Linked DNA regions of Mus musculus. The protein of the gene in region 2 interacts with the protein of the main gene of each other region in a pairwise test. Links are inferred from orthologs where the notes say so. Each region holds a gene or a part of one and is shown on either strand. Other genes may lie near its edges. The genes, in order: Prps2, Wdyhv1, AU022252, Ncoa5, Apip, Rpia and Lztfl1.

Evidence for each region.
Region 1: the proteins of Wdyhv1 (region 2) and Prps2 interact in binary tests that used the Homo sapiens proteins (3 or more experiments, as listed by UniProt). The two-hybrid records come from large-scale screens. The link is inferred for Mus musculus from reciprocal best matches to the Homo sapiens genes NTAQ1 and PRPS2.
Region 3: the proteins of Wdyhv1 (region 2) and AU022252 interact in binary tests that used the Homo sapiens proteins (3 or more experiments, as listed by UniProt). The two-hybrid records come from large-scale screens. The link is inferred for Mus musculus from reciprocal best matches to the Homo sapiens genes NTAQ1 and C1orf50.
Region 4: the proteins of Wdyhv1 (region 2) and Ncoa5 interact in a two-hybrid assay, tested with the Homo sapiens proteins (3 studies listed by BioGRID and IntAct). The two-hybrid records come from large-scale screens. The link is inferred for Mus musculus from reciprocal best matches to the Homo sapiens genes NTAQ1 and NCOA5.
Region 5: the proteins of Wdyhv1 (region 2) and Apip interact in binary tests that used the Homo sapiens proteins (3 or more experiments, as listed by UniProt). The two-hybrid records come from large-scale screens. The link is inferred for Mus musculus from reciprocal best matches to the Homo sapiens genes NTAQ1 and APIP.
Region 6: the proteins of Wdyhv1 (region 2) and Rpia interact in binary tests that used the Homo sapiens proteins (3 or more experiments, as listed by UniProt). The two-hybrid records come from large-scale screens. The link is inferred for Mus musculus from reciprocal best matches to the Homo sapiens genes NTAQ1 and RPIA.
Region 7: the proteins of Wdyhv1 (region 2) and Lztfl1 interact in binary tests that used the Homo sapiens proteins (3 or more experiments, as listed by UniProt). The two-hybrid records come from large-scale screens. The link is inferred for Mus musculus from reciprocal best matches to the Homo sapiens genes NTAQ1 and LZTFL1.

What each region holds. Positions count from the first base shown.
Region 1 is NC_000086.7:167,379,792-167,383,993, forward strand, and holds the start of Prps2 (ribose-phosphate pyrophosphokinase 2), read right to left. Parts: upstream 2,801-4,202; coding exon 2,679-2,800; intron 1-2,678. UniProt on the Homo sapiens protein: Catalyzes the synthesis of phosphoribosylpyrophosphate (PRPP) that is essential for nucleotide synthesis.
Region 2 is NC_000081.6:58,140,085-58,144,165, reverse strand, and holds the start of Wdyhv1 (protein N-terminal glutamine amidohydrolase), read right to left. Parts: upstream 2,801-4,081; 5' UTR 2,674-2,800; coding exon 2,585-2,673; intron 959-2,584; exon of another isoform or gene 897-958; intron 1-896. UniProt on the Homo sapiens protein: Mediates the side-chain deamidation of N-terminal glutamine residues to glutamate, an important step in N-end rule pathway of protein degradation.
Region 3 is NC_000070.6:119,229,925-119,233,994, reverse strand, and holds the start of AU022252 (uncharacterized protein C1orf50 homolog), read left to right. Parts: upstream 1-1,270; 5' UTR 1,271-1,333; coding exon 1,334-1,412; intron 1,413-1,525; coding exon 1,526-1,641; intron 1,642-4,070. Other genes in the region: P3h1 (prolyl 3-hydroxylase 1 isoform 1 precursor), read right to left, coding at 565-1,038.
Region 4 is NC_000068.7:164,999,857-165,003,779, forward strand, and holds the end of Ncoa5 (nuclear receptor coactivator 5), read right to left. Parts: intron 3,104-3,923; coding exon 2,783-3,103; coding exon of another isoform or gene 2,760-2,782; intron 2,316-2,759; coding exon 1,726-2,315; 3' UTR 501-1,725; downstream 1-500. UniProt on the Homo sapiens protein: Nuclear receptor coregulator that can have both coactivator and corepressor functions.
Region 5 is NC_000068.7:103,072,274-103,076,474, reverse strand, and holds the start of Apip (methylthioribulose-1-phosphate dehydratase), read right to left. Parts: upstream 2,801-4,201; 5' UTR 2,688-2,800; coding exon 2,634-2,687; intron 1-2,633. Other genes in the region: Pdhx (pyruvate dehydrogenase protein X component, mitochondrial), read left to right, coding at 3,026-3,185. UniProt on the Homo sapiens protein: Catalyzes the dehydration of methylthioribulose-1-phosphate (MTRu-1-P) into 2,3-diketo-5-methylthiopentyl-1-phosphate (DK-MTP-1-P).
Region 6 is NC_000072.6:70,771,676-70,775,175, forward strand, and holds part of Rpia (ribose-5-phosphate isomerase), read right to left. Parts: intron 3,499-3,500; coding exon 3,434-3,498; intron 2,645-3,433; coding exon 2,576-2,644; intron 1,897-2,575; coding exon 1,755-1,896; intron 1-1,754. UniProt on the Homo sapiens protein: Catalyzes the reversible conversion of ribose-5-phosphate to ribulose 5-phosphate and participates in the first step of the non-oxidative branch of the pentose phosphate pathway.
Region 7 is NC_000075.6:123,711,126-123,714,625, forward strand, and holds part of Lztfl1 (leucine zipper transcription factor-like protein 1), read right to left. Parts: intron 1,500-3,500; coding exon 1,305-1,499; intron 1-1,304. UniProt on the Homo sapiens protein: Regulates ciliary localization of the BBSome complex. Together with the BBSome complex, controls SMO ciliary trafficking and contributes to the sonic hedgehog (SHH) pathway regulation. May play a role in neurite outgrowth. May have tumor suppressor function.

The DNA.
Region 1 (4,202 bases), on a different chromosome or scaffold from region 2:
ATTAACCTTTTAAAATGTTCTATGGGATAGAACATAAAATGTAGCAAGGAGTAGCAAGGTATCCTGGGACATGTACTCTATGATCCGCGCATGGGAGGTGAGGGCAGGAGGAACATGAAATCAAGGGCAGACTTAGTGACACAGTGAACTCCAGACCAGCCTAGACCTCATGAGAACTTGACTCAAAGAAAGGGAAAGCAAATCCACTACACCAGATAGAACAGAACAAAACCTCAACCCATTCAACAGAAAGTAGAGCTGAGGGGTCTTCTCAAGCTTAGGCGTTGTCAGGATCAAAAGTGGTGAAAAGATAACCCAAACTAAAGACAAGGCTTCTTTCTATTTAAATAAATGTACGAACAATCCCGCCTGAACATCTGAGTAAGTTTCCCCTATCAGCTGATACAGGACTTAGAGTAGTAAACCCTTACTCAGCCAGATCATGGAGATTAGCCAGGCCTTGCAGCATTGTGCTGCACTGAGATTACAAAGAAGGGTTGCTTCACTTACACTTTCAAAACCCACTCCCTCCAGAGCCAGCTCCTTTATTTACATGATAACACCTTCTAAACAAAGAGGCTTATTCTAGTTGTTCCCCCAGAGCCGCTGAAACTTGGACAAGGACTAACAAAATCTTGCTATGTCCAAACCTAGCTCCATCCTTCTCCAAAGTCCTAGAGCACCCTCCATTTATTGAAGTCTACAAAGGGCGCTGGGGATGGAGCTCAGTGGTTGAATCTTCTTGTTGCCTAGCATACACAAAGACCTGGAATACATCCTCTGTACTAGAAAAAAAAAATAGACATGGTCTCATGTAGCCAAAGATGCTCTTGAATTCCCACTTCTCTGGCTTCTTCTACCCAAGGGCTGAGAACGTAGTGTGTGCCAGCATATCCTGATCTGATGCTGCACAGGGGCTTCATGCAAACTCCTGCAAGCAACTCTACCAACTGAACTACATTCCCCAACCCCAGAGTGGCATTCTTTTGTTGTTGTTGTTGTTTTTAACTTATGAAAATAAATTTTTCACTGTTCTTAATTCAATGTCACAGTTCATTTCATTGTTGTTTTCTTGTTGCCGACTCCTGGAAGGTTTGGATTACTTCCTTTTGTTCCCCCATTAATTAATTTATTTTAGGGGGTGGCTTGGAGGAGGGGGGACTTCAATCAGGATGTAATGTCAATAAGTAAACAAAGTGGCAGTTCTTTCACCTGAATTGTCCACAGGTTTCTTCTATTATCACCCAAGCTGTGTAAATGGAGTTTACCACCTAGAAAAGGTCACACGGGATTCACATAACCTCTAGAAAAAAATCATCTTTGTCATCAATATTAATCTAACTGGGTCTGATGACACACACACCCGAAATTCTAATGCTTGGGAGGTAGAAACAAGGGTTCTCCTGTGAGTTCGAAGCCTACCTGGACTACTACCTGGGTGAGTTCAATACCAGCCTAAATACATAGCAAAAGTCTGTCCCAGAAAACGAAAACCAAACCAAAATAAAACAACCAAAAGGAAAAAAAATGCCCTTAATCTCACAACCAAATTCTCGATTCATTCCATCATCAAGATTTTGTGCTTCCTTCTGGAAATTTCAGTTTTAGTTTTGACGTTTGTGTCTACAATCCGTTTCTAAGTTAACTTTTGTAAATACGGAGAATGACTTTTTTTTTTTCTGTAAAACTTGCGGAATGAATTCGTGCGCTACTAAATATAGAACGGTTATCTGTCACTGTGCACTGTATAGTTGGTTAACTGTGCTAAATAGAATTCGGGAAAAGAAATTGGCTTTGGGCAAGTAGGACAAGGAATCCCTAGTCTAAGCTGAGGAGAGCTTCCGCCTGCCTGGTGGCACCTTTTGCTAATGTGAGAAACCGGTGGAATTTTGAACAAACTGGGGTCTTGTTGCTGTGCGCAGCTAAGCTCCACAAACACAAAGAAGCTATTCGCAATGATAGATGCAACAAAGTTTAAAGGAAGGGTGCGAGCGCTCAACACGTGCGTCTCGCTTTCCCACGCTCTGCCTAACTCCCGCACAAACCCACCTTTCTGGATAAGGCAGCGCTTGGCCAGCCTGCTGCTCTGGAGAGTCACCTGAGCAGCTGGCAGTACTCTGATCGCCAGCGGCTGGAAGTGGCATTCGAAAGTTTCCCTGGGATAAACCCAGTGCCCAGGACCCGTGCAGAGCCTTTTCAACCATGCAGGATTCTGGGTTTCTGTCTGGCAGAGAGTTGGAAACTGGGGCGGGCGGATCCACCGATGTCTCCCCGCCCCCACCATTCCCGGCACCGAAGTGATGCCCACAGACTGCGCCCACTCTCCCAGACGCTCTGTAACTGCCCCGATTTTGTCCTTCCGGACTGAAGACACCAGGCGAGCCGGTGCAAAAGAGGGGCCTGGGGTGCCCAAGGGTCGACAGGTCGCCGATGTCCGGGTATTGGAGGCCCAGCCACCAGAAGGTTAACAGCCAGAGGATACGCGTAGAGACTCCAGGGTGACCCGGGTTGGGGGTGGGGGTTGGGGGTCCCTTGCTGAACTTCTTTCTCCCCTGGCGCAGCCGCCCTGGCTCTGCAGCCGCGTTGTTGCCGTCCCGCCCCGGAAGGGAGAGCATGACGCCCGCGGAGCTGGCCTGGGCATGCTTTGGCCCCTGCCTCAGCCCCAGCGAGGCTCCCACCTGGTCTCCTGGTTGCTAAACTTCTTGGTGACCACCTTGCCCAGCTCCAGGCCCAGGCGATCGGCCACGCGCTGCGACAGGTCCTGGTGAGAACTGCCGCTGAAGAGCACGATGTTAGGCATGGTGACCGGGGACTGAGGAGCGCGCTGGAGAAGGAGAAAGGGACTGCGATGCAGACTACTGCTACCGTTGCTGCGGCTGTTGCTGCTGCTGCTGCGGTGGCCTGGGCTGCTGGTGAAGCGGGAAAACGCAGCAGCAGGATCTAGGGGAGGGGAGGGCCGGGGGAGGAGCCAGAGGGAGGAGGAGCAGCTGAAGAGTCGCTGGAGGGTGCTGGGAGGCTGCTTCTGCCCACGCAGGCTGGGCATCTGGGTTTGAAGCTCTGGGTGGTCCCGAAGCACCCAAGTACAGTTGCTCCGTAGGGGAGCTCCAGGCTCCACATAGGACTTCCTGACTTGCCTTTAAATGGGGAGGTCAACCAACCAGATAAAGTGGGCACAGTGAGCCATTGCAGGAAAGGGCCATGTGGTGCCTCACAGCCAGGAGCAGCCTTTCAACCCGGAAGCTCAGAACCCAGAGGTGATACCTGGGCTTCAAGTGCACACCGTGTCTACATAGGCCAGACCCACACATCGGTTTGTATTTGCACACGGGAGTGAAGCATGTTTGCACTTGAAGTGGTGATATAGACTACGTTTGAAGATGGACTAAGAAAAGGGTTTCTCACCAACAAGAATTCTCTTTCTCTGTCATTTAATTTAGATGTATATTTTACAAAATTAGCTCAAATATTTTGTTTTCCAGTTTTTTCAACAAAAGCTGAAAATTTTGGTTTTTTTTTTTTTTCTTATTATATAAATGCCCACATTCTTTCTTGTCTTTTGCTTCTTGGTCCACAAAACCTGAACATGTTACCGTCTAGCTCCTAAATGTGTGTTGCTCTGTAAAGGAGTCATTGATGACAGCCACCATTTGACCCCTAAGCTTGGCCACAAGAGGAAAGCGTATTTTCAAGTGGTCAGTTGCCTCTCACCAATTCCTTCTGAGTCCTCGTTTTTATGTAGATAGGCTGGCTCTCAGGCTCTCTTCACAACTTCCTGTCCCTTGGATTCTCTAGAGTCAGACTCCCCCACCCCCCACCCCCACCCCTGCTGCGGCAACCAACCCCCCTCTCCCAGAGTCCTTTGCTTTCCCTGCCCTCAACCCCCACCTCAGCATTTCTGAAGTAGCTAATGCAGTGTCAGAGCCAATCGCCAATCGCTGGGCACAAAGCACACTTAAGGAAAGGAGATTCATCCTGAGCTCCTGGACGAGTGGAGCACTAGTGATCCTGACTTACATTTCTTAAAAGCTTTCAGAGACAGATTAACCTGGCCAGATAGTTGCTTGGGCTCTACCACTGTCTACTGAAATTTGGCTTGCCATATACAACAAAGACTACTTGCCCTTGAATTGTAGCCCACTCTAAAGGCACTTCTTGTGTGATTGGAGTTTGGGAGAGTATTTAGATTGACCGTATCTTTGGGG
Region 2 (4,081 bases):
TGCTTGCTTGTATAATTATGGACATTTTTTCACACTCCTCAGAGGAATGCCCTCCTCCCAGTTAACATCAATGACTCCATGAGAATCTGAGACAGCATGAGTCCAGAAAACGAAGGTGTGGCTAATGTCTCAGCAAAATGGTAAATACTGTGACCCTCAGGACAGCCCTTAAGGCTGTGGGAAAGAGCTCTAAATACATGAGTTTGAAAATATATAATTTCTCAACTATGCAAAAACATAAGGATGCAATATGAATTGTATAAGGAGTTTCACAGATCTAAATAGACAAGAGGCAGCTACTCTATATGACACAGATTTCTGAGTTCAAGCCTGGAACAGATCAAATTTAGGTCCAGGAGTGGTCAGAATGGTAATCTCCGGACAAGGTCCCAACTAGCTAAATTTACAAAAGCAGCCAGATCTCTGAATTCTTTTACAATGCTAAAAAAAGGGGGAGAAAATCTGCTTGTAGTCTCCTAAGAATTAAGGGCCTGGGGTCACAGGATTCATAGGATAATCAAAGGGGAACCTGGAGGTTGAGAACAGCTCTTCAAGAATTTTCTTTTTTCTTTCTTTCTTCCCGCCCTCCCCCACACCCTCCCAGGGTTTCTCTCAGTAGCCCTGGCTGTCCTGGAACTCTGTAGACCAGGCTGGCCTTGAACTCAGAAATCCGCCTGCCTCTGCCTCCCAAGTGCAGGGATCAAAGGCGTGCGCCACCAAGCCCGGCTAAGAATTTTTTTCTAACAGGATTTGGAACATGGTGGGACAATGTAAGGAGGGCGACCACAGCTCTTTCAGATCTTTTCTTAGCTCTTTTAGAATTTTCTCTAATAAGATTTACTGACACAGCTCTGTTAGCATGTCTCCTAGCAGCTAAACAGAAAAAGCTGGCAGAAGAGTGAACACAGCTCTTTTAGAATTTTTTTTCTGGCTTTCTGATTTTGATCAGAAAACCCAAGAATTACTTTTTGAGTATTTCTAACAGGATTTCTGACTTGGTCAGCAAACCCATGAGCTATCCAAAGAGCTTTTAGAACTTTTAATAGCAGAGAGAGCTGTCTTGAGCAGAAAGCTAGCTGTTTCAACCAAAAAGTTTTCAGAATAGCAAGAAAAAGCTGTCTCAAGCAGACACAGAGAGAGCAGTCTAGAAAGCCACATCAGCGGAACATAGACCACCAGCATGGACCAACAATTTGACTTCAAGTAGTTTTCACTGCTCCCAAACACCCCTTCTTTCAGAAACCCGGTCCCAGCTGAGGCCAGTCCTTGGCACTGCCAGGAAATTTATCTACCTTGTTTACTGCTCTATCCTCTGTGCATAGAATCAACCAACATACATTTCACATCCCTACGAAATATTTACTAAATAAATGGAAGACACAGAGTAAATGTTCCAGATAAAAACTAGCAGGATTTGGAAACCAGGCGGAGCAGATCTATAATGCAACAGCTAAAAAAGAAGGACTCCCAACCACCATGTAGACTCCAGATCTCATTCCACTTAGTTGTGTGGTCTGGGACAAACCACAACCATTCTATAGTTCAGCCTTTGTAGTGTCAATAATTACCACAGAACCTGTCTCCAAGACATCGCTCTACCACCCCCTGTTCTCAATCTGTGGGTCATGGCGTTGAATATCAGATATTTACACTACGATTCTTAACAGTAGCAAAATTAGTTGTGAAATAGCAACGAAGTTTTTACAGCTGTGGGTCACCACAACAAGAAGATCTGTATTAAAGGGTCACAGCCCTGGAAGATTGAGAACCAGGGCAAGCACTTGGACTTGAGCTAAAGTGGTCACTGGTCAGTCACAGCTGAATGCTAAGTTCTTAGAGTCCTTGTTTGAGTGACCAGCTAGAGTTGAGAGGAGTCTATTTAAATGATCCTGAGGTTTCTCCTGAGTTGGGATAGCAGTCCCTACACAAAAGGAAGATGAGGCCTAGGGACAAAAAAGGCAAGGTGAACGGTGTTTGCACAAGCAGCCTAGGACACTAACCTCACAATCCCGGGGCCTTGTGTAAAACAGCAGCACACCCTTCAGTACCTCAGAGTTCTTCCAAGCTGCAATCACACCAGTACCTACCTCTTGGGATTACTGTGAGGTTCAACTGAGTTAATTTACACCATGCACGCAAAACAATGCCTAGCATATGGCAAGGATGGTGCAAATGCAACCATTATCATATGGCCAGTAAGGTAATGCCAGTAAGGTAATCAGGGTAGCCAGTTGCCTGAACTGGATTTCCTACTACCACAAATTCTGTGTCTCCATTGTCTTTAAAATTATAAAGACGTATACTTCAACCTGAATCAATGCAGACTTCAACAGTTACCATTGGGTCTCCAGCCTAACTCCCCTCCCTCCCTTGTCCCTATGCACTAAGACGCCCCGACTTCACCCCACTGCTCAGGCTCAGCTAAGGAGACCAGAAATGCGTTCCCCACCCTCCTCATCCCGGCGCTAAACCCGGGCAGTGTAGGCCAGCAGCAGCACTCAGGGGAGCATCCAGGAGAGGGGCGCATTGGTGGCGGCGCGCGAAACCGCGCAGATTCCCGGGGTCCGCGCCCGCGCTCTCTCACCAATAGCAGCTGTTGTAGACACATGCGTCCCGCGTAGGACAGACCGGCTGGTACTGCGGGGCCGTGGCGGCGGGGCCGTCCCCCTCCATGACCCGAAGCTGTGGCTCACAGGTCAACTAAACAACCCGCTGGCCGCAATTGTCGCCAGTCTCCCAGGAGGAGAGGACAACAGAGTAGGCGGCCAGGACAGTTTCCGGGTGGGAGAGCCGAGAGCCGGGTGGGCGGGGCCCCGTGCAGCGTGAGGGCGGAGCCCGGGATGACGAAGCCTGCGTGGTTCCGGGTGGGCGGGGCCTGAGAGAATGAGTGGGATCTGAGGGGGGTGGGGGTGGGGCGAGGCTGGTGGAGAGGGGGCTGGGAATGCGAATCTTAGGATGACTTGAACTGTGTAGTTCTTGCCAGGTTTTGCGTGGTGGGTGGAGCCTGTGGCAGAGCGGGATGCACTTAGAGGCTTCCCTCTCGCCCCGCCCCCCCCACCACCCGGACCCCAAACCGAACCTGTTCTTGAGCTACGCTGCGTAGACCTAGTCGCCCTCCCATGGAGGGATTGCTTGTGTTGTTGCCAGTGTTTAGATATGAGCTTCCGGATACACTTAAAACTCCAGCTAAGGTTGCCCGCTGTGTGAAACCAGAAGAAACTCTAAACTAAGAGATGCTTGGGCACGCACGAAAGCTGAACCTTTAGAGCAGGAACTGAGAAAGAAAGGCGAACGGGGGGGGGGGGGGGGGGTGTTAGTGCAGTGCACCCAGATCTCACCATATTGTAATTTAATTTCTTCTCATCTGGATCTCTCTCCCTCTCCGTGTGTGTGTGTGTATTTTAAAGAAAAAAAGTTTTAACCAGGTGTGGTGACAGACACCTAAAGTCCTTGCATGCAGGAGACTGAAGCAGGAGGATTGCTTCTAATGCAAGGTGATCCTAGACTACAAAAGAATTTTTCTTTTAAAAAAAAAAAGATTTAAAGAGTCTGGATAGCATTTTGTGTTAATCATATTTATTTTCAAAAGAGAAGACACCAAATTGCTAAAACAGTGTTTATGCATAGTGAATTAAAGACATAGAGAACTGTCTCTATAGACATCCCAGTCTCCTGTGTGTGCCTTAAGTGCTCAGAGAACCTCCCTGCAAACGCTGGACTTCTTAAGATTAGATTATAGGCCACCCACAGACTCTCAGCCTTCTGAGACCCCAACCCCATAAAGTGCTGTGCTGGTGGTATTCTGGTGAACTTCAGCTGCTGTCCAAAACCCATAAATCCTACAAACTAAACATGTGTTTGTGTCTGTTACCAATTTATTGTTTCAGCTTGAATACTCCCTTCAACAGAGGCTGGGAGGCAGGGAGTGGCAGTCATGAAGCCTCTCTTGGTTAGTACAAAGTGAGTGTGAAGTTAAGCTTTCTCAGTAGAAGGATGGAAAGAGATTGCAAGGGAAAGAGGATCCCTGCAGTTTCTAGAAGGGACCAGAGCTAGTTGTGTGATCATCCTGCCCTCCAGTGGA
Region 3 (4,070 bases), on a different chromosome or scaffold from region 2:
TGGAAATATATGTTACCAGTCATCACGGGCAGACAAGGCTGGCGTTCCAAGCCCGCTTATTGACTTGGCCTTAAATCGCTGTGGCATCCCAAAAGACAGTCATTTTCTTAAAAACAAAAAACCCAAAAATACTAGCTAGAGGGTCCTCCACAGGGCGGAGCCAGGCAGCCCCTGCTGGCGACGTGGCAATCCCACGTCCTGAAAGAGCGCTGCTGTTGGATTAGGGAGCAGGGAAAGCATGATTGGAGAACGAACCGGAAGGAAGATGTTGCAGAAGCACTTGGACACTTGCAATGAAGTACTGCTGGGAGACCCTAGCGGCCGCCTCGGTTCCCTCTAGGAGGCCTTCCCAAAAGAAAAAGGTCAGGTTTTTCTTGGCTTGGGCTGTCACTACTGGCTGGACCTTTAGGGTTAGCATCTGCCCATAAGAACCGGGTGAAGCTCCCAAAGTCCGCCAAGAGCTCCCTAGCCAAGAGGTCCCTTGCCTCCCTGCCGTCTCATCCCTGCTCTGCTCCCCAAGTTCCCCAGGTCGCTCCCGGCCACCGGGCTCCGGACCAGTCGCACCTTGAAATAGGCGACCTGCAGGTAGTTGTACGGGCTCCGCTTGTTGAACTCCAGGTCCAGTTCTTCACTCAGCAAGTGGGCAGAGGGCGGCCCGAGGCAGCGGCGTAGGCAGGCGGCACGGCGCAGCACGGCTCCGAAGAAGCGCAGGTCGTGCAGGGCGGCGGCGCCCGGGTCCTGGCTCAGGCTGGGGTCCGGACCGAGATCCAGGTCCGGTGCCCACGGCAGTTCGGTGGCACAGCGTGTGCGGCAGCGCAGGCGGAGGGCACGCAGGGCCGCCCGCGAGCGCAGCGCCCGCTCCATGTTCAGGACCACCCCGGGCCAGTCCCCGCGCGAGTAGGCCGCGGTCCCCTCTGCGTAAAGCAGGTCAGGGGCTGCCACGTCCCATCCCGGCTCAGACTCCGCCGCAACCCGTAAGGCGGCGGCGGCGGCGACCGCTAGCATCGCTGCCAGCAGCCTCCTTTCGCTCACCGCCATGGCCTTGCTCCTCCACTTAACGGGACTGCTCGCCTGGGGCACATTCCAGAGTCCCGCCCCCCACAGAAGCCACGCCCAGAGACGAGCCACGCCCCAAGTCCAGAAGCTCGTGGCAAGGAAACTTGTACCGCCTCTTGCTTTCAACCAATCCAAACACTTACTCTTCGTGAGGCTCCGCCTCTAATCTCATGCGCACAGCTCAATGGACTGAGAACGAGAAAACCCCGCCCACAAGCTGTTGTGCGCCTGCGCTTTAGACTGAGCTCCCTGCGGGTGGTGGGACCGAGGTGCTGTTATGGCGGACCCCGGGGTTCCCGGCCGGTACGAAAGTGGTACGGGAAATCTGGGGGTGAAGGAGGCGGCGGGTCCTGGAGGTAGGTGGGACTGAGTTGCCTGGGTAGGAGGTCGCAGCCGGGTGGCTCTTTCCTGCTGGCTCACGGAAGGCTGAGGGTTTCAACTTACGCCTGTGTTCGGGTGTGTATCGCAGGAGCCCTGGTGGAGCTCACCCCGACCCCCGGCGGCCTGGCTCTGGTGAGCCCCTACCACACCCACCGGGTCGGGGACCCCTTAGACCTCGTGGCGCTCGCCGAGCAGGTGCAGAAGGTGAGGAATAGCCATCTCCGTACTTTACCCTGCCTCTTTGGGCTCGGGACAGCCTGTGAACTCGGCAGTACTGAAGTTACCATTCCATTTCACACGAAGAGGATCACTCTATCCCAATTCCTCTGTTGTTGTTTGTTTTGAGACAGGGCCTTTCTACATAACTCTGGCTGTCATGGAACTCTCTATATTATAGACTAGGCTGGCCTCGAACTGACAGATCCACCTTCCTCCCCCACCCTCCAACCCCAAAACCCTATGCTGGGATTAAATGTATGGCTTCTATACCAAATTCTTAAATAGTCACATTTTATTCTGCTTCCCATAAGGTCTTTATCTGTTACCCAGGAGCTTGTGGAACTTAAATATATGCTCTTTCTTTCCTTTTTAAAAAAACAAAACAAAATAAAACAAAAACTGCTGGGGTTGTAGTTTACTGTTGCCTAGCCCTGAATTTGATTCTTAGCACTACCAAAAACAGCATGCAAAAAGGCACAGGGTAAAATTCCTATTGAAAAAAAGACCACACACAATAAAACTGGAGGTAGTTTCATTTGCTGTATAGCCCAGGTTGGCTTTGAATTCAGCCTCCCAAAGGCTGGGTATTACAAGGGTCGCTGTCACACATGGTGAATTTCAGTGGATACAGTCAGTATTACTATGTCCAGAGCTTAGGCGTCGGTTTCCATAATAGGTAAAATAAAGAAGATATGCAAAATAATGGAAAAGACCGTAGAAGTTTTGACAGATTGGTTTTGATTGTTTCTCTCTGGAGCTCTGGATCTGTAAAATGAGATCTTTGAGGTGGAGAGGCTCATAGGGCTAAGTGGGACTCCAGTTTCCTTCTCTTAGCAAGACTTCCCCTGAAGACTCTTTTACAGTGTCGGAGCCTGGCTGCTTTAAAAGCTTCTAGTGTTCTCTTTCTCTTGTATAAACTAGCTTATTTGGCAGTTATCGTGTTCAAGAGTTTGTTTTGATCAAGAAAATTAATGATTGACATGCCAAAAATCCCTCACACAAAAAATGTCTGTTGTAGTATTTAAGAAAAATTCAAATGTTTAGAAAAACCTTTTTAATTAAAACTTTACTTTTTTTTTTTTTTTAAGAGAGGTGGGCTCAAAAACAGGCTTAGAAGACTATCACGTGTTTGTTTAATCAGGCTGCTATTGGAGGGAGGTAGCTAGGGACAAAATCTTGGGCAATCAACACTTTGAGTTTCAGAGTGACGGTAGTGGACTCAGCCACAGAGAGAACACAGCTTTTTTTTTTTTTTTTTAAGATTTATTTATTTTATATATGTGAGTACACTGCCGTTCTCGCCAGAGACACCAGGAGAAGTCATTGGATCCTGTTATAGATGGTTATGAGCCACCATGTGGTTGCTGGGAATTAAACTCAGGACCTCTGGAAGAGCAGTCAGTGCTCTGAACTGCTGAGCAATCTCTCCAGCCCAGCTTTAGTCTTTTATACTGGTGACATATAAAGGATATATTATTCTGTTGCCTCCAGTTCTCCAGAATAATCCATCTTTGAGAAGCTGAAGAAGAAAATACTTTAAAAACAAATTGAGAGCTGGGGAAATGGTCCAGTGGTTAAGAGCACTCACTGCTCTTGTTGATGACCCAGGTTTAGGTACCAGAACTCACATTGAGACTCACAGCTGTTTGTAACTCCAGTTCCAGGGGATCAGATGCCCCTTTGGGCATTGCTTGGACACGATGCACATACACACATGCAGGCAAACACCTATATACACACAAAAACTTTGAAAACTAATGAAATCAACATATTCACCGTCTACATACTGAAATACACTTGCAGAGAGGACCGTCTCCTGACTCCCTTAATGTGCAGTCAGAAAGCTTTCAGAGGTTTGATACCGAGACATGGATTTTGGAATTAAGTTTAACTATGTCCAGATCCTTCAATTGCCATTTATTATAAAACCTTAGGTCACCACGCCTACGTGAGTCTTAACACCTAACTAAGGTTATCGTTTCTGGAGAGTTAGATGCCATTATTAATGTAGAGGCTCTTGGAGTGCTTGGGCCCAGGATCAGTGCCTGCTAATTATGAGTACCCTTTGGGACTGGCGGATGGCTCAGGGGTTAAGAGAACTTGCTCTTGCAGAGGATGCAGGTTTGGTTTCTAGACCCTACCTGGTGGCTCACAGTCATTTCTAACTGTAGCTCCAGGTGACTCAATGACCCCTCTCTTCTGACTTTTTCAGATGCCAGGCACACGTGTGGTACACATATGAATACATATACAATAAATACAACTTTTCAAAAATGTATTCTTTCCTTCCTTTCTTTTTAGTTAGGCTCTGGTTTGCATGGTTAACCTTTCCTTAAAGGGAAAAGGGATTAGAGAAGGCCTGGTGCCTTAGTTAGGGTTTTACCACTGTGAACAGGCACTATGACCAAGGCAAC
Region 4 (3,923 bases), on a different chromosome or scaffold from region 2:
TTAGGTGGGAAACTCTCCTCTGCTTACAGAAGTGAGCACACCAGCTTTGGGGCCCTGTGCCTGAGGTAGGAGGTGCTTCCTAGGTGTCAAGTCACATGGTACCCTCTGGGAGGCAGCAACTCTCTTCTTGAGAGGAGGGTCAGGACAGTCATGCCAAGTAGATTAAAGGCTCTTCAAGGCCTCCATGTTCTGACTATAGATTATGCCAAACTCCTGCACAATGGGCAGCAACAGGCATGAAGGCAAAAGAGGAATGACAGCCATGGCCCAGAGAGGCTCTTCCTCACAGTGGCTTCCTTCCCCGTAACCTATCTTGGACACCTGCAATACACCGACTCTAGCAGCAGGCACAGAGCGTGAGTCTGCTGTAGGCATTCCTATCAACACTTCTCACTGGCGGGCAGCACAGCGAGTTTAGGCTGGGCACAGAGACTCTGCTCTTGGGGAAAGTGCTCAGCAGAGGTGCTGCTGCAGACACACCCAAGAAAGATTAGCACAGGTCTGACTTTTTCATTTTAATTAAAAAGTAATTATTTCATTTTATCAACAACACAAGAGTTCCAAAGGGGGAGGGGGACCCACCGTATAACACAAACAGATCAGAACATAAACTGCTGCCATTTGGGGACTTAGCTTTTGAAACTGGTTTGCTCAGCCTCTGGCAGGGACTGGACTGGAGTTAGCACTCTTGCCGCCCAGCCAGGCCTGACCCTCCCCTGACCTGATCCTCACTTCATTTAATGAGCAGCCTTTCCCAAAGGAAAAGGCGCTTCTTCCTCTGGCTCCATTCAGGGCAGCAGCCAGAGCCCTTCTCTAAACATCACCCTGTCTCAGAAGTTACACGAATGCTCTTCTGTATGAGAACATACCCAACTACCACAGTCTACCATCAAGTGGTCCCCGTCTCCTGCTCATCAGAAAACAGAACAAGAGTCTGAATGAAAACAAAAGCCTGGGGCTCAAAAGAAATCACGGACCACCAAGGTGTCCAGCTCCAGAGCCTGGAGCTGCCCCCAGTGCTGACTGCATGAGGTGCAGCCGGAGAGAAAGGTGCAGCTAACGCTGTGGAGAGCAGTGGGCCCCAGAGTCACAGTTCATGTCAAAGTGCCAAGAGAGCTGCTCACTTGTCTGCAGACCCTCCAGGAAAATAAAAAATACGAAACCAAACCAACTTCAAGGGACCACTCTGATGCAGTCACAAGAGTCCTCTCTTCTCTGGCTGCCACATGGCACTTCACAGTCCAGAGAAATCACTCTTGAGTCCTTGGAGTTCTATTCTCTGATGGAACAATGATGACACTGTCTGCCAAGACCACCTGGCTTCACTGGGAGCCAGGCAGGACGCAGCTCTGGCTGCTGTGGAGGTGAAAACTAAGGCTATGACCACTGCCTCCAGAAATGGTGTTCCCATAGGGCAGCTGCGCTTGGCTTCTTCCTGTTCCTCCAAATCTGCCAGGCAGGTGCCAGAGCGATCCCAGACAGAAGCTGAGCCCAGATCCCAGAACACTTATCTTCTACCCAAACAAAAGATCCAGCCCCGAATGCAGTCTAAGTTCTGATTCTGATAAGTGATAAGCAACAGCCGCAGGAAGGAGTGGTGAGAGAAACTTAGGATATTTGATGTTGACCTGGAAAGTGTTTCGAACACTTCCAAACAACTCTACTTAGGATGAAGTAGGAGGGGCCAGGGAAGGGTGGGGCTAGGAACAGTAGACCAGTAGAGCCTCAGTAATGCCTCTGGTAAGATCCCATGGGGGCCTGGGGCCGCCCCACCTGTGCTGCAGTTTGGCTAACCAGGTGGGAAAGGGCAGGGCCACTCTGAATCAGGGTGTCCAGAGCCTTTTGTACACTTGGATTGTCAAAGTTAATACCTGTGGAAGATACAGGCCTCTGGCTAGCCATGGTGCTGGCGGGTGCCAGGCGACTGGAAGGCTGACCAAAGAGCCCTTGGGAAGGAGCCCCAGGCCTAGGGCCCATGTTCCGAGCAGACCCTGCCTGTCCCACAATGTTTGGAGGCTGATTTCCTGAGGCCTGCGGTCTTTGCTGAGGCTGGCTGTTTGCTGCTGTGGAAAAATTCTGGTTCTGGGAGCTTCCGGTAGCCACTGAGGGGGATGCAGAGCTGCTGTTGGCCGCAACCGCGCCACTATTGAAGAGGCTGAGGATTTTGGCCTGAAGCTCTTGCTGGGAGGTGGGGGGTGCGGCTGGAGTGGGTGTAGCAGAAGGGAGCACTTGGCCGCTCTGAAGCGGTTGTGAACTTGGTTGTGACTTCAGCGAGGAACCCGAGGCCGCCCCGAGTGGCTGGCGGGAAATCGGGCCTGGAAGACAGAAGAGGGAGGCATCTGGTTGAGAGTGCCCCCTAAGGGCAGGAGGCCTAGCAGCCACAAGAAGAACAGCAATCACACACCACAACAATCATACAGTACAGACAGTAACATCACATTCCAAAGGGGCGGTTGCTTCCCAGAGAGCAGCCCAATGCCCAACAGAATTGCTTAAAACAAACAAAACAAATAAACAAGGGGTATCCATCATGGCTCCCAGGACGCCAACAATACTAGATAGATTAAGCCCCAGCAGCCCAACTCTAGGGAGCAGAGCTCAGCAATGAATGGAGATCATCATAACAGCATCATCAGCGTGCATGGATTGTGGGAGAAGCCAAAGGATGGCTCACTTCCCTTGCCCACCCCAGAGAACCCTGGGCATGCCACCCTCCCAACAGAGCACGGGATGAGAGAAATGCAGAGTGAGAACTTCACCTCGGCCCTGCCACGTAGCTCACCAGGCAGAGAGTCGGCGCTGCTCCTCAGGAGCCGCTCCTTCCGCTCGCGCAGGTAGTTGATGATCTTGTCCGTCTCCTCGGCAGTGAGGTATCTGTTATCTGCCAGGAGGTTGATGAGGCTCTGGATAGCTGGAGGGTGCCCTCCACGACCTCCCTCTTCAGGGCCCCCACGATCTCTTTCCTGGAGGATGGCGTCATTAGCCATTTTGGCTGCCTGTCGGGCAATCTCCTCACGTTCCTTTTCTCGACAGTCATTCTTGTAGCGCTCGTAATTTCTGGCCACCAGCACCATGGCATCTGCCTGGGGCATGTTGCGATGCTCTACAGGAGGGAATGACACCAGTCATTTTCTCCCATGATAGATCCAAGTGCCCACTGCTGTGCTTTGCCAAGCCTTTCTCAGCCTCAAAGCAGAGAAGCACTGCAGTGTTAACAAGTCTTGAACCTAGAGTGGGGTGGGCTGAGGGACAGAGCATCGCTCGCTCTTCAGTGTGGGACACACCTTCTTCCTACAGAGCTATTTCTTCAGTGGATCACAGACCTGTGGTAAAAACCAAAGGAACACAACAGCCTCCCACAGTGTCAAATAGGCCACTTGGGGAGCTGCTGGGCAGCCTCCACACCGCAGCAGGAGGCTGGAGAGTCTTGTGTGAAGCCTGGCTCCCTGCTGTGCTCAGGGCAGAGCCACTACAGCTTTTTAATTCATCAGTTCAAAAGTCATGGACTAAGATTAAATTGTAACCCTAAATAACCACCTCTTCTTAATGGAGCAACAGGACACTGAGGACACTTCTTGGAACCTTACATAAATATCTATACACAAGCTAAGGACAGCTCCTCAGAGACAATTCTACCAAACCTGTGACTATGGGTGTGAGCGCCTGGTCAACAGAGATCATAGGCAGGTGGAAAAGGGGTTAGGCTTAAAAGCCACAGTCAGGGCACCGATGGCTGAGTCTCAGTGCTTGGGCTCAAAGCACTCCAAGAGCCTTCCTCTAGTGGACCAGAGCCTCTCCTGTCAGTTTAACTACTCTAGCACACTGACAGACAGCAGCTTGTCTGTGAGAGCCTCATCCCTGGGAGCACATTTCAGGTAGCGGATGCCTAAGCCAGACCTCACTGAGAGCCAGGTGTACACAGG
Region 5 (4,201 bases), on a different chromosome or scaffold from region 2:
ATAGGTTCTCTTCTGCTAGGAAACAGAAACTGAGATCAGGAAAACAGAAAGGTAATAGCCTAAACAAGAGGAAGAACAAAGTATGTATGCATGTCTGAATGCCAGTAAGTATGATCTATCAACAACAGGAATTGCCAAGTGCTTGTTGTGGGTCAGGCACTACTGTTAAAGCTGTATGGACAACTTTACCTTATACCAGCCCTATCATACCAAAAGATTAACTTGTCTACCTGATAACTGACAGCAGGGCCAGGATTTGAACCCAGGCAATACGGCTATAAACCCCTACTCTTTTACTTTGAAATTATACTGTAGATGGAAAGAGTATTGAAGCTGCCTCTGCCTCCAGGTCCTAGTTGCTGGCAGATGCCCTGCAGTGACTGCTATAGTGAAATGACAAGCAGGCTGCTGTGATTCTATAGTCATAAAGGCACAAATGTTTTCCCTTTCCTCAGTCCAGGGACCCAGAGGCAAACTGACTACAAACACCTACGACTCATGAACTACATGGGCCTCCTATCTGTGTTTCTCAGAAACCTGCAAGAGGGGGAAGAATCCTGCTGTGTCTTCTGGAACTTACCTTTGTTCAAAATCCTTGCTGTGCTCTGTGTGTTGTTAATAACTTAATACTAATCTCTAACACATAGGGCAAACTGAGTCAGACCGAACCAAATCGAACTTTCGTCACTATAAATAGAACGCCATGATACATGAGGCAAAATTAAAAAAAATCAAAAGCCAGCAAACAAGCAAGCCTTCCCGGGTTTTCCCCCAAGGCATGGTTTTCTAAGGAACAAGAGACATGTTCTTGTAAGTTATACAATACCATATACCATATACCATATACCATATACCATATACCATAGCGCTCTGCTCAATAAACACTGGGTGCACTAAGACCGTATTTCTTACATTAAGAAAAGGCTAATATCAAACGGTTCAAACTGATATCTTGTGGACTGTGCTGGGTTGTTTTGTTCACTGTTGGGGAAGCCTTCCAATCAGGTAACACATAGTTAAGTCTTAAAGGATACATATACGTTAACAAAAAAAAAAAAAGTAGTAAGGGGTTCACGTTGGCTAGTTTTATGTCAACTGGGCACAAGCTGTGGTCATCTGAGAGGCAGAAACTTCGGTTGAAAAAAAATGCCTCCATGAGATGGGCTGAAGGCATGCCTATAGAGGAGTTTCACAGTGATTGATGAGGGAGGACTCTGCTCGTTGTAAGTGGTGCCACCCTGAACTGGTGGTCCTGAGTTCAGGCTGAGCAAGCCAGAGGGAGCAAGCCAGTAAGCAGCACCCCTCTATGCATCTGTATCAGTTCCTGCCTCCAGGTTCCTGCTCGCCTGTACTCCTGTCCGGACTTCCTTCTATGATGAGCAGTGAAGTAGAAGTAGAAGCAACATAAACCCTTTCCTCCCCAAGTTGCTTTCTTTGGTCATGGTGTTTCACCACAGCAATAGTGACCCCCCACCCCCCAACACAGACCAAAGTCGTTTATTTGATCTGCACAACACTTAGAACTCAAGCCAACATTTTTGAATCAGGAAATTTCACACAGAATATGACTTTCTAAGTGTCCCTCAAAAAAGCAGAATTTGACACTGCGTCTATACCTCCAAACAGCAAGAAGAGGCTAGAGACATGTAATGAGATCTCTAGTTGAGGTATATGGTGGTCCTAGAGTTTTCTTTGTGGTTTCCTCAAAATATGGGCCAATCTAAAATGCTAGGTATTCAAAAGTCTTTGACAAATCACCATCTGAAACCACCCACTTCTCCTTCTATACTTGAAAAACATCTTCAGCTTCTTTTTTGTATGTGGCTATTTTCTGTCTTGATAAATTCAATCACAGCTCTTGAATCACAGGTTATTTTGCTGATCTGGCACAACACTTAGTATGAAAAAAAAATCTGTATTTCTATGATGACCGTCACCAAGATTTACTAATAAGGGATGACAAACATGTCTGCTATCAATGCACCTTGATTCTGATACATTGCTTCTACTTTCCTCGTTCTCCATATATAGGGATGGCCACCAGGGACCTGTGTCCTATATGCAAAATCTCCCTTTCAGTCGTGCCTAATTTCAAGGTTTATAAAGAATTTGTGAAAAGCCACTTATTCCAAGACAATAATAGTTCAGATGCTCTGCATTAAATATTTCCTGTTTTATTTTAAATTGAGACCCCTTGGCTAGACGAAAGGTTAGTAAAGATATAATTTTGTGGACTTCCCCTGAGTCTTCTGCAGGGCTTATCAGTTAGTATCGAAGCTGTTTATTCTTCTAGTTCGCTAGTTCACCATTTTCTTAGCACTAGAAGGCATTTCATAAGCCTGCGTCCTGTTTAACTGAAAGAAAACCCATGTTGCCCCAGGGCCCATTTTCCTTAAAGAAGAATCATTTCCAAGAGCTCCCACCTCATAACGTCAAGTAAGATAGGCAAGGACAACTGCCCAAAAGAGTGCCCTTTGGGGTGCCTGACAATTCCGGTAGAGCAGTCCTACTAGCACAGAGGGGCCTCTGACTTTCGCGGACTGGGTTAGGAATTAGCCGCCTAGAGCTCCTGGCCGAAGCCCCACCCCGCGGCCCGTGACCCCACCTCGCCTGCTGTAGACCGCCGTCCTTACCTGCGCGCCACACGGCCGCGAGCAACAGTCTCCTTGAGCTTGACAGCCAGACATGGTTCTGACTCTGCTCCGTTATCTGTCCCGCGCTCGTTCCAAGTCTGAGCGGCCGGCAGAACGCTATTAGGCGACAGAGCGGGCAGCCTGGGGGCGGAGCAAGAGTGAGAGGCGGAGTCTGAGGGGGACCTCGTCCCTTTGGAGAATCTGCGGCGGCGCAAACCGGCCGGTGGGCGTGCCCGTGAAGGTTGGAGGCGGTGTTAGAAGGACTAGTCCTCCAGTCCAAGGCGGGGAGCGTGCGCTGTGGGCGGGGCCAGCCCATGCAAGGCGGGGCCTGGACGGGCCTTGAGGCCGCCAATCTAGTTGACTTGCGAGCTTTCCCGGAGAAAGCCGGGAAGATGGCGGCCTCCTGGAGGCTTCACTGTAACCAGCCGCTGCTTCGGTACCTTCTGGGATTTAGCAGCCGTCGAAGCCTGGGACTGGCTCAGGGTGCTGCTGCTTGGCCTGTCGACCGTGGAGCAAGTTGGAGGTGGTTTCACAGTACTCAGCTGCTGCAGGGTGAGTGGCTTGCGCTCGCTCCACTTCTCTCTTTAGCTGAGCAATGGGGCCTGGGTCAGGGGCTTTCTTGATTGGGGACACGGTTTGTGAGGTTAAGTGCGGACTCTTCCTGTTCCTTTCAACCTCCCCCAGAAACGGGCCTGCTGACTTAGCCTATGGCATGCGGCAAAAGAACTGTCTTCAGACTTGGGAGAGCATGGTTCCGTCCTTGGCCTGCCTTCAGGGCTACATGGCTTCTCTGTGACCTTGCTTTAGAATTTGAGAAATTTCGATGTCACCTAGGGAGGGTCTGTTTTAAATCCCTCTATTTTAGACCCTTATCAATCACATGTCAAATTTCTTTAATTTTACCATTCCTCTCTAATGTAATATAGCTGCCCATACATTCAAAGCCACTATTACCCATACTGATTCATTCAAAGGACCTGTCCCTATTGGAAAACTTTAAATCTTACTGCACTTAATGTATGCAGCATACAAGACTTAACTTAGAAAATACAGAATCACAGACATTGCTAGAATGTTTCAAGTAAAATATGTGGCATGAAATTCATACAGCCTATTACATAAAATTGTTCTTAAGCAGTGATATTGAACTCGGAGATATACCCACTGTCCTTCCGTTATTTAACATACAGCATATAAAATGGCAGACCTGGCATTATTCTTCCTTACGTGTATGAATATGGGCTGGGGGTTAGGATGGGGGCACAGAAAACAGTTTTAGAAACCATTAGACATTTAAGTAATCATTCTTACCACCACCTGGTACAGTAGGCCTAGCCCACACTTTCTGAGCTGTCTGAGGCCACAAAACAAAACAAAAAAAAAGAAAAAGAAAAACAATAAAATCCGTGTGCTGAGATTTCTAAAGAGGGGCTAATAGGGACAATTTACCTAAGTCATTTTTGGAGTAATGTTTAATAAATACTTCCTGGATATTGTCTTTAACTGTATAGTATATAATATTTTCTCTGCCTGGTCCTCATTTGTTAAAACTGAACTTGCCTACACTT
Region 6 (3,500 bases), on a different chromosome or scaffold from region 2:
AGGCCTGGTGGCGTCTGTCTCTAATCTCAGCACTTAGTAGGAGGCAGGGAGATCAGGAGCTCAAGGTCAACCTGGACTACATACTTCCAGGTAGCCTCCCTTCAAACAAAAATGGAAGGGAGGTGCTACGTAACCAGTTATCACAGCTGCTTTCTAAAGGGAAGTCAAGGAAGTATTGACACCAGGGTACAGTTATTGATTATTTATTTTCTCTAATACCCAAATTTTATTTCTAATAACTATATACACTTCGGTTTGAGGTCATTACATTTGGTTGTTTACTTAAGTGCAAAAGAAAAGTTCTTTGTAACTCACAGTCAGATGCTGAAGAGAAACATCTCCACAGGAGTATCATGTGCTCACACACACCCCCACCCATAGAGAATGCAGGTGATGTAGCTTAGTGGTAGAGTACTTGCCTAGTATTTCCAGAAGCCTTGACCCCAATTCCTTTTTTTTTAAAGATTTATTTATTTTATGTATATGAGTACACTGTACAACTGTAGTTGCTAAAATTGAATTTAGGACCTCTGCTCACTCCAGTTGGTCCTGCTCGCTCCGGCCCAAAGATTTATTATTATAAATAAGTACCCTGTAGCTAATTTCAGATGCACCAGAAGAGGTCGTCAGATCTCATTACGGGTGGTTGTGAGCCACCATGTGGTTGCTGGGATTTGAACTCAGGACCTTTGCAAAAGCAGTCAGTGCTCCTAACCACTAAGCCATCTCTCCAGTCCTTGAACCCAACTCCTAACACTGAAAAAAAAAGAGAGAGTGGGGCTATCTTGTACAGAAAGTTTCTGAAAAAAAATATCTTCCACTCGCCTTCTGTCCTTAGATTAACCAACTGGCACTTCATTGGCTTTGGAATTTAGTATAGACTGTTACTAATCCACAGGCAGAGTATCTTGGGCCATCTACACCTTTTGAAAGGTAAACCCTCTGAAATGTAGACACACTGTGTGTATGGTTCCCACCAACCAAAAGGCTAAGAACAATACCAGAGCTGGGGCAATGGTAGGGCTCACCTTTAATCCCAGGGGAGGCAGAGGCAGGCAGTTCTCTATAAATTTGAGGCCAGCCTGGTCTACAGAGCTAATTCCAGGACAGACAAGGCTACACAGAGAAACCCTGTCTCGGGGAGGGGAATGCTAGGACAGGGGTGAGGCCTTCACCATTTTTCTATGACCTGCCTACCTGGTGTTTACAATATATATGAAAAGCGTAATTTGTGGCCTTTGTTTTGTCTCTGTACATATTAAAAGATTGTTACCTCACTGGAATTTGGAATAACCTAAATCAATGTTCCCAGGCCAGAGTTATTCCTACTTGGCTCTAAACTAAAACTATCTCTTATCCTCTTTGAAATAAGAGTTGTACTCTTACATTGATAGCCTCAGAAAGGATGAAAAAAAGAAAAGAAAAATACCACACACACCACAGAACCTGAAAAACTTTCTGCCCCCTAGAACTTCCCAAAAGACAGTGTTTAGAGGCTGTTCACTGAGCAGTCCAGACCTCAAGTAACCCCGAGGGATGTCAGGAAAGAACCATGACTCCTTCTATGGGGGGAGATTAAGGGGTTGGACACAAGACACACACAGATACACACAGATACACACACACACACACACACACACACACACACACACACACACACACACACACACAAAGGTCTTAGGACCTAACTGACACAGAAAGCACTAGAGCAGCACACTGAGTCGGAGTGCTCAGAAACCTCCTTGGCCACTTACTGCCTTGTTGACAGCCATTCGAAGTTCCACCTCACCCCCAAACTTCTGGGCCACAGCCCGGCTCACTGGGACGTAGGCCATTGGGATGACTTCAATGGGAATCCCCTTGTGCCACCGATCCCCGAGGTTCTTTGAATCTTTCCTAGAAAAAATGTCAATCAAATTTAAGTAAGTTCAATACACAAAACCAAATTCAGGCAAGGGGTTAACGAGACAGCTGGAGGGGAAAGAGATCAGGACAGTACAGGGGCTTCAGAAACACGGGCTGCTTTACACTAAAGAGACTTGAATATCAAGGTAAAAATTATAAAATCTGCTCTGATGGTTGGCTGGCTAACTTAGGTTGCTCTTGCACTTATGGTATTTCCCGAGTGATACAAATGCAGGTATTTCTTCTAACATGCTCAGAACAGTGCCTCCTCTCTCAGGCTCCTTGAAAGAAAATCGGCCTGGTCAAAGACTGAGCATAACAGTCACGTGGAGAAGAGCCTGACCCCAGAGGAAGCAGGATGTGCTGAGTCACTACCTGTGAACCTCAGGGCTTGTCCTGAGGTTACCTGTGAAGACCTAATGAGTAACAACTCAGGCAGAGGAGCTCTGCCCACAGGGTGACACTGCTTCCTCCCTATCCCCAAACAGGAAGGCCCAGCTCCACGAAAGAGTGCTGGGTGCTACGGTAGTCAGCAGGAGTCACTGCCTGGAATCCTAGAGAGCAGGAAATCCTTCCTACATTCCTATACAGGCTCTCTCCTCTTCCATGGGGACCAAACTTGGGAACCCAGACACCTTCTCTGCTGGTAGGCAGAACCCTGGAACAGTACCTGAAATCAGCAATCACAATGAAACGACTTGCATAACCAGCCACGATCTTCTCCTGGGTCAGGCAGCCTCTGACAGGAAAGAGTAGGGTGAGATCATCTTCATTTGGGAAGTGGGATCAGACATGGGAGTCCCAAATGTATTCAATCCTGACACTTAAAGAGAAATGTGGCTTCGTTTCTAAAGAGCCATTCTCAATCCTATAGAGCTGCTTTCTAGTAGATGGAATACACAAGCATCTGCCTGTGTCTGGTAGAAGCCTAGAAAGTAGACAATGGTTCTATTCAGGCCAAGCACTTCCCCTCCAACAGGCATCTAAGCAGCACTGTGTTAGGGAGATGACTCTGACATGCCCTGAATAGATGACCGGTTTGGAGCACCTGCCCTGTGGACTGTGACAGCACAAGCCAGGGATACTGAATCTTCTGGCCTATGTCTACTGCTCTCTAGATAAATTACCTCACACCTGCAACAAGTATTACATAATACATTTAAAAAACTGAACACCCTGTCATTCTGATAAATGTTTCCAAATAAAGGGAGAGCACCCCTCAAGGAATTACGGACTTCAAAACTTTAACACATAAGGCACAGACCTAATAGTCTAAGCCAATAATGTGTTGTGTGTGTACACAGAACAGCATGACAAACCATCTCGATGAAAAGGCCCAGGTTACCTGTCAGCAGATAGACACTAATGGTCAGAAATGCTAGGCTGGATCAACAGCACATGGTATCAGGGTGCTGACAGGAAGAAAAACTCATGTGTATCAGGAACAATTGTTTACTCTGTACTCCATTTCGCTTCGCTAAGGGTTAGCTGACCGTCTCTTTAGCAACAAAGTCCCCACAACACTCACCCTCCACCCTTGATGAGATTGAGCTCAGCATCCACTTCGTCAGCACCATCGATGGCAAGGTCAATCT
Region 7 (3,500 bases), on a different chromosome or scaffold from region 2:
ATTCATTGAGAATAGACTTCTAGAACATAAAAGAATAAAAAAAAAATTACAAGAACCAACCTATTACATGTTAGGGAGATGAGCATAAGAGGGTACAAAACTGTTATTTGATTACAAATGGGTGAGAATCTCATGCCCTGTAAAGCAATTTAAATCATTCACAGGTCTTGGTACTTTGTACTTGATATGTATATCGTGTCGTAAGACATAAACAGCAATGCTAATACCTATATGAATGATATTTATATTTCCCTCTATTTCTGAGGTACAGCAGTGATTTCCCTATTACATAACATTTACTGTCATCTAAGAAAGAGTCTGATTTGTAGTACAGTTTTCTTGGATATGACTTAGTCCACAGTATCTACTGAGAGAGAATGCTAGCATATTCCATGAAAGCTGGTGTTGTGAGCAAGCCCCTGATAATCTACCAAGATAGATATGTGGACTATACTCCTACGTACAGACGACTCTTCTATCTTCTTCAAACATCAGCACTCAGTATTTTCTCACCAGTCACCCACTGAGAAATGGACAGCTGCAGAAGCCAAACGAACTTCCTTCCCTCCTGGAAGACTGTACTTAGCACTGCTCATCATTTTCCACTTGAGGAGAAACTGTTCAGAGAACAATTTCCAGGGCTTAGCAGCGAGTCCTTCTTGACTTCTGGCAATTATTTATTTATTTATTTGTTTGTTTATTTATTTATTTTTGAGACAGGGTCTTACTGTATAACACAAGCAGTCTTAAGAATTGAAACTGTATGTGTGAACCATGATGTCCAAGTGGCATGTTATTTCTTAGAACCAGCTTCAACTTCATTGATCTTACTAGAGGTTTTGAATTTATGAGCTTTTCAATACTGTAAGATTTTTAAGCCTTTTATAGTTTACATTTCCTAAGTTAAGTGTATGGTTTCAAATGTAGTTATGTAGAAACAAATTTGCAATGCTATTAGGCTGAATAGATGGAAATTATTCTCTAGTATATCTTCAACTGTTCTAATCTTTACTTCTTAGCAGATCAATGAATCAAGACCACTGTAATATTAACCATGTTACTAAAGATGCTCTAAGGAATAGGTACTTTAGATTGAAAAGCAGTTTCATGTAGTTGGAACTGATAGTAGAAACAGAGTGTCTTTAAGAGGCCTTTGAGTGCTCCTCAAGGAAGGAATCATCTAGTGACTGTGCCTTGCTGTTACCTTACCCAGTGTCGCACACCCCAGCCCAGGAAAGTACTAGCAAAGTAATCACTAACTTTTGAGATCATAGTTGGGCCTCAACTGCAAGTACAAATTTTACCTGTTTTCAAGTTCAGAGATGTCTGTCTGTAGCTTTAGATACCACTTCTCAGCTTGGGAGAACAGCTGCCGTAGGAGCAGGACATTGGTGTAAGCTGTATTGATGAGCTCGGACTCCACCTCACTGTGTACCACAGCCTGCAGCCCATTTAGGACTTCTGAAACCTCATCAATGGTGAAAGTCTCCTCCACCAGCCTGAAAACAGTATGACACCATTGGCTCGTTAGTCACAGGAGCAACTTACAAAATGTAACTGAAGTCAAGAGACCGACATCATGACATTTAAAGAATTAAAGATTGCAAGAAAAACTCTCTGGGAGAGATTAAAATGATTAGATGTGAGTAATTGTTCAAATGTGTTCATTTTAAAATATAACTACATATTGAAAAATATCCCCTAAACCTTTACCTATTCTTTTTTAACTTTACAATATTATTTTTTTTTACTTTATACTCCTCTAAGTTAGCCTTATTATATTTAGTAACTTAAAAAGTCACACTTAACTCCCCCACTTTCTGTTACTTCTCTAACATTTTAATGATCATATGAATTACTTAAATATTAGTATGCCTATGAGACAAACACTGCAGTTATATATTAACTTTCTTAGCAGTCTAGACATACACACACACACACACACACACACAAATTAACATTTTTAAAGTACCACTATGAATCACAGAAATGAATATCTAATCAACAGCAGCATTCAAATCTACTCTTACCGGAGCTACTTGGGTTAGAAAGGAATCTCGGGAGATGAGCCATTGTCTTCAATCCCTAACTGTACAGAGGGCTTGGAGCATGGAAGAGATTTGCCTGTGGTTCCACTGTGGGTTACTAGCTCCAGCAATTTCAGTAACATGACCAACAGGTGGAGTCCTTAACAAATCCTGTGCACACCTCCTACTCTCAATGACAGTATCACACTAACAGAGTTTTGTTTCTTCCAGCTTTGCCCCTCTAAAGTCTCTCACCCTCAGACCCTTAGCCTCACCTTCTCTTCTTTCTTTCTTCCAAACAGACAAAAATCAAACATCTTGGCATAATCATATTCAAATTAATAGAAAACACTTTTAGCACAGTTACATTTCACTAAGTAGTATTTAACATATAATTCTTTAACATTGTTAAACTAGAAAAATTTAATCATTCTTAAAAACACTTTAATTTTAGAGTCTTTATTAAAATGTTAATGTTTTCTATATTCTTTAATAGACCTCACCATATTTTTGCCAGTTCCATTGCTTTCATCCATTGGGTTTAATAAACCAGATTAGGTAATTGGTTGAACAGACACTAGTACAAGGCTGATGACCTCCACAACAGCTAGAGACATCCTGAAGACCTTTGCTACTTACGTGTGACTCAACGTTTAACTAGTTTCCATTGTTGTTTCAACAAAACTTACCAACTTTTGTTTCAAGTCAACCAACAATGTTGGTATTACCAAGTATATGTTTTATGTTGTTTTTCCTTCTCCAAATTGCTCTATATGAAAAGTATAAGTTCATAACTGTCATGTCATATGGCTCTACTTTTTAAAGAAATCACTTAAGAAACTAAAGTTATGGAACTTTATAGAATTAAGCCCGTCACAATTTTTATCTGAACCTTTCCAGTATGTAATGATTACCATGTGCATGCCTGACAACAGACTGTTACTATCACCCACAACTATGTCTCAATTTCACAAATCCATGGAACTTAGTGGAGTTTCTCTCAGTGACCACTGTGGTTTCTGTATTAGCATTAATCAGAATTTAATTTATCCACTTAGGATCCTTTCTTTCTTGAGAAACTTTCACATGACTAGGTACACATACATGTATATAAAGTAAGTATACAGGTGAGATATTTACTAATTAAAAAAATCATAAAAATTTTTCTTAAAACAAGCCAGGTGTTGTAGTACACACCTTTAATCCTAGCACTTGGGGAGGCAGGCAGATCTCTGTGAGTTTGAGGCTAGCCTGGTCTACAAATAGAGTTCCAAGACAGTCATGGCTGTTAAAGAGAACCCTGTTTTGAAAAATTGAAGAAAAAAATTGTTTAAAACCACTTCTCTGGCATACATATAATTTGCCATTTACTAAGGCTGAAAGCTAATTTTTCATATAATGAGATGAATGTGCTTATTTTTATAGCAACAATTAAATCTTGGTTGAATATTTGATAAAGCAGGATACAGCAGC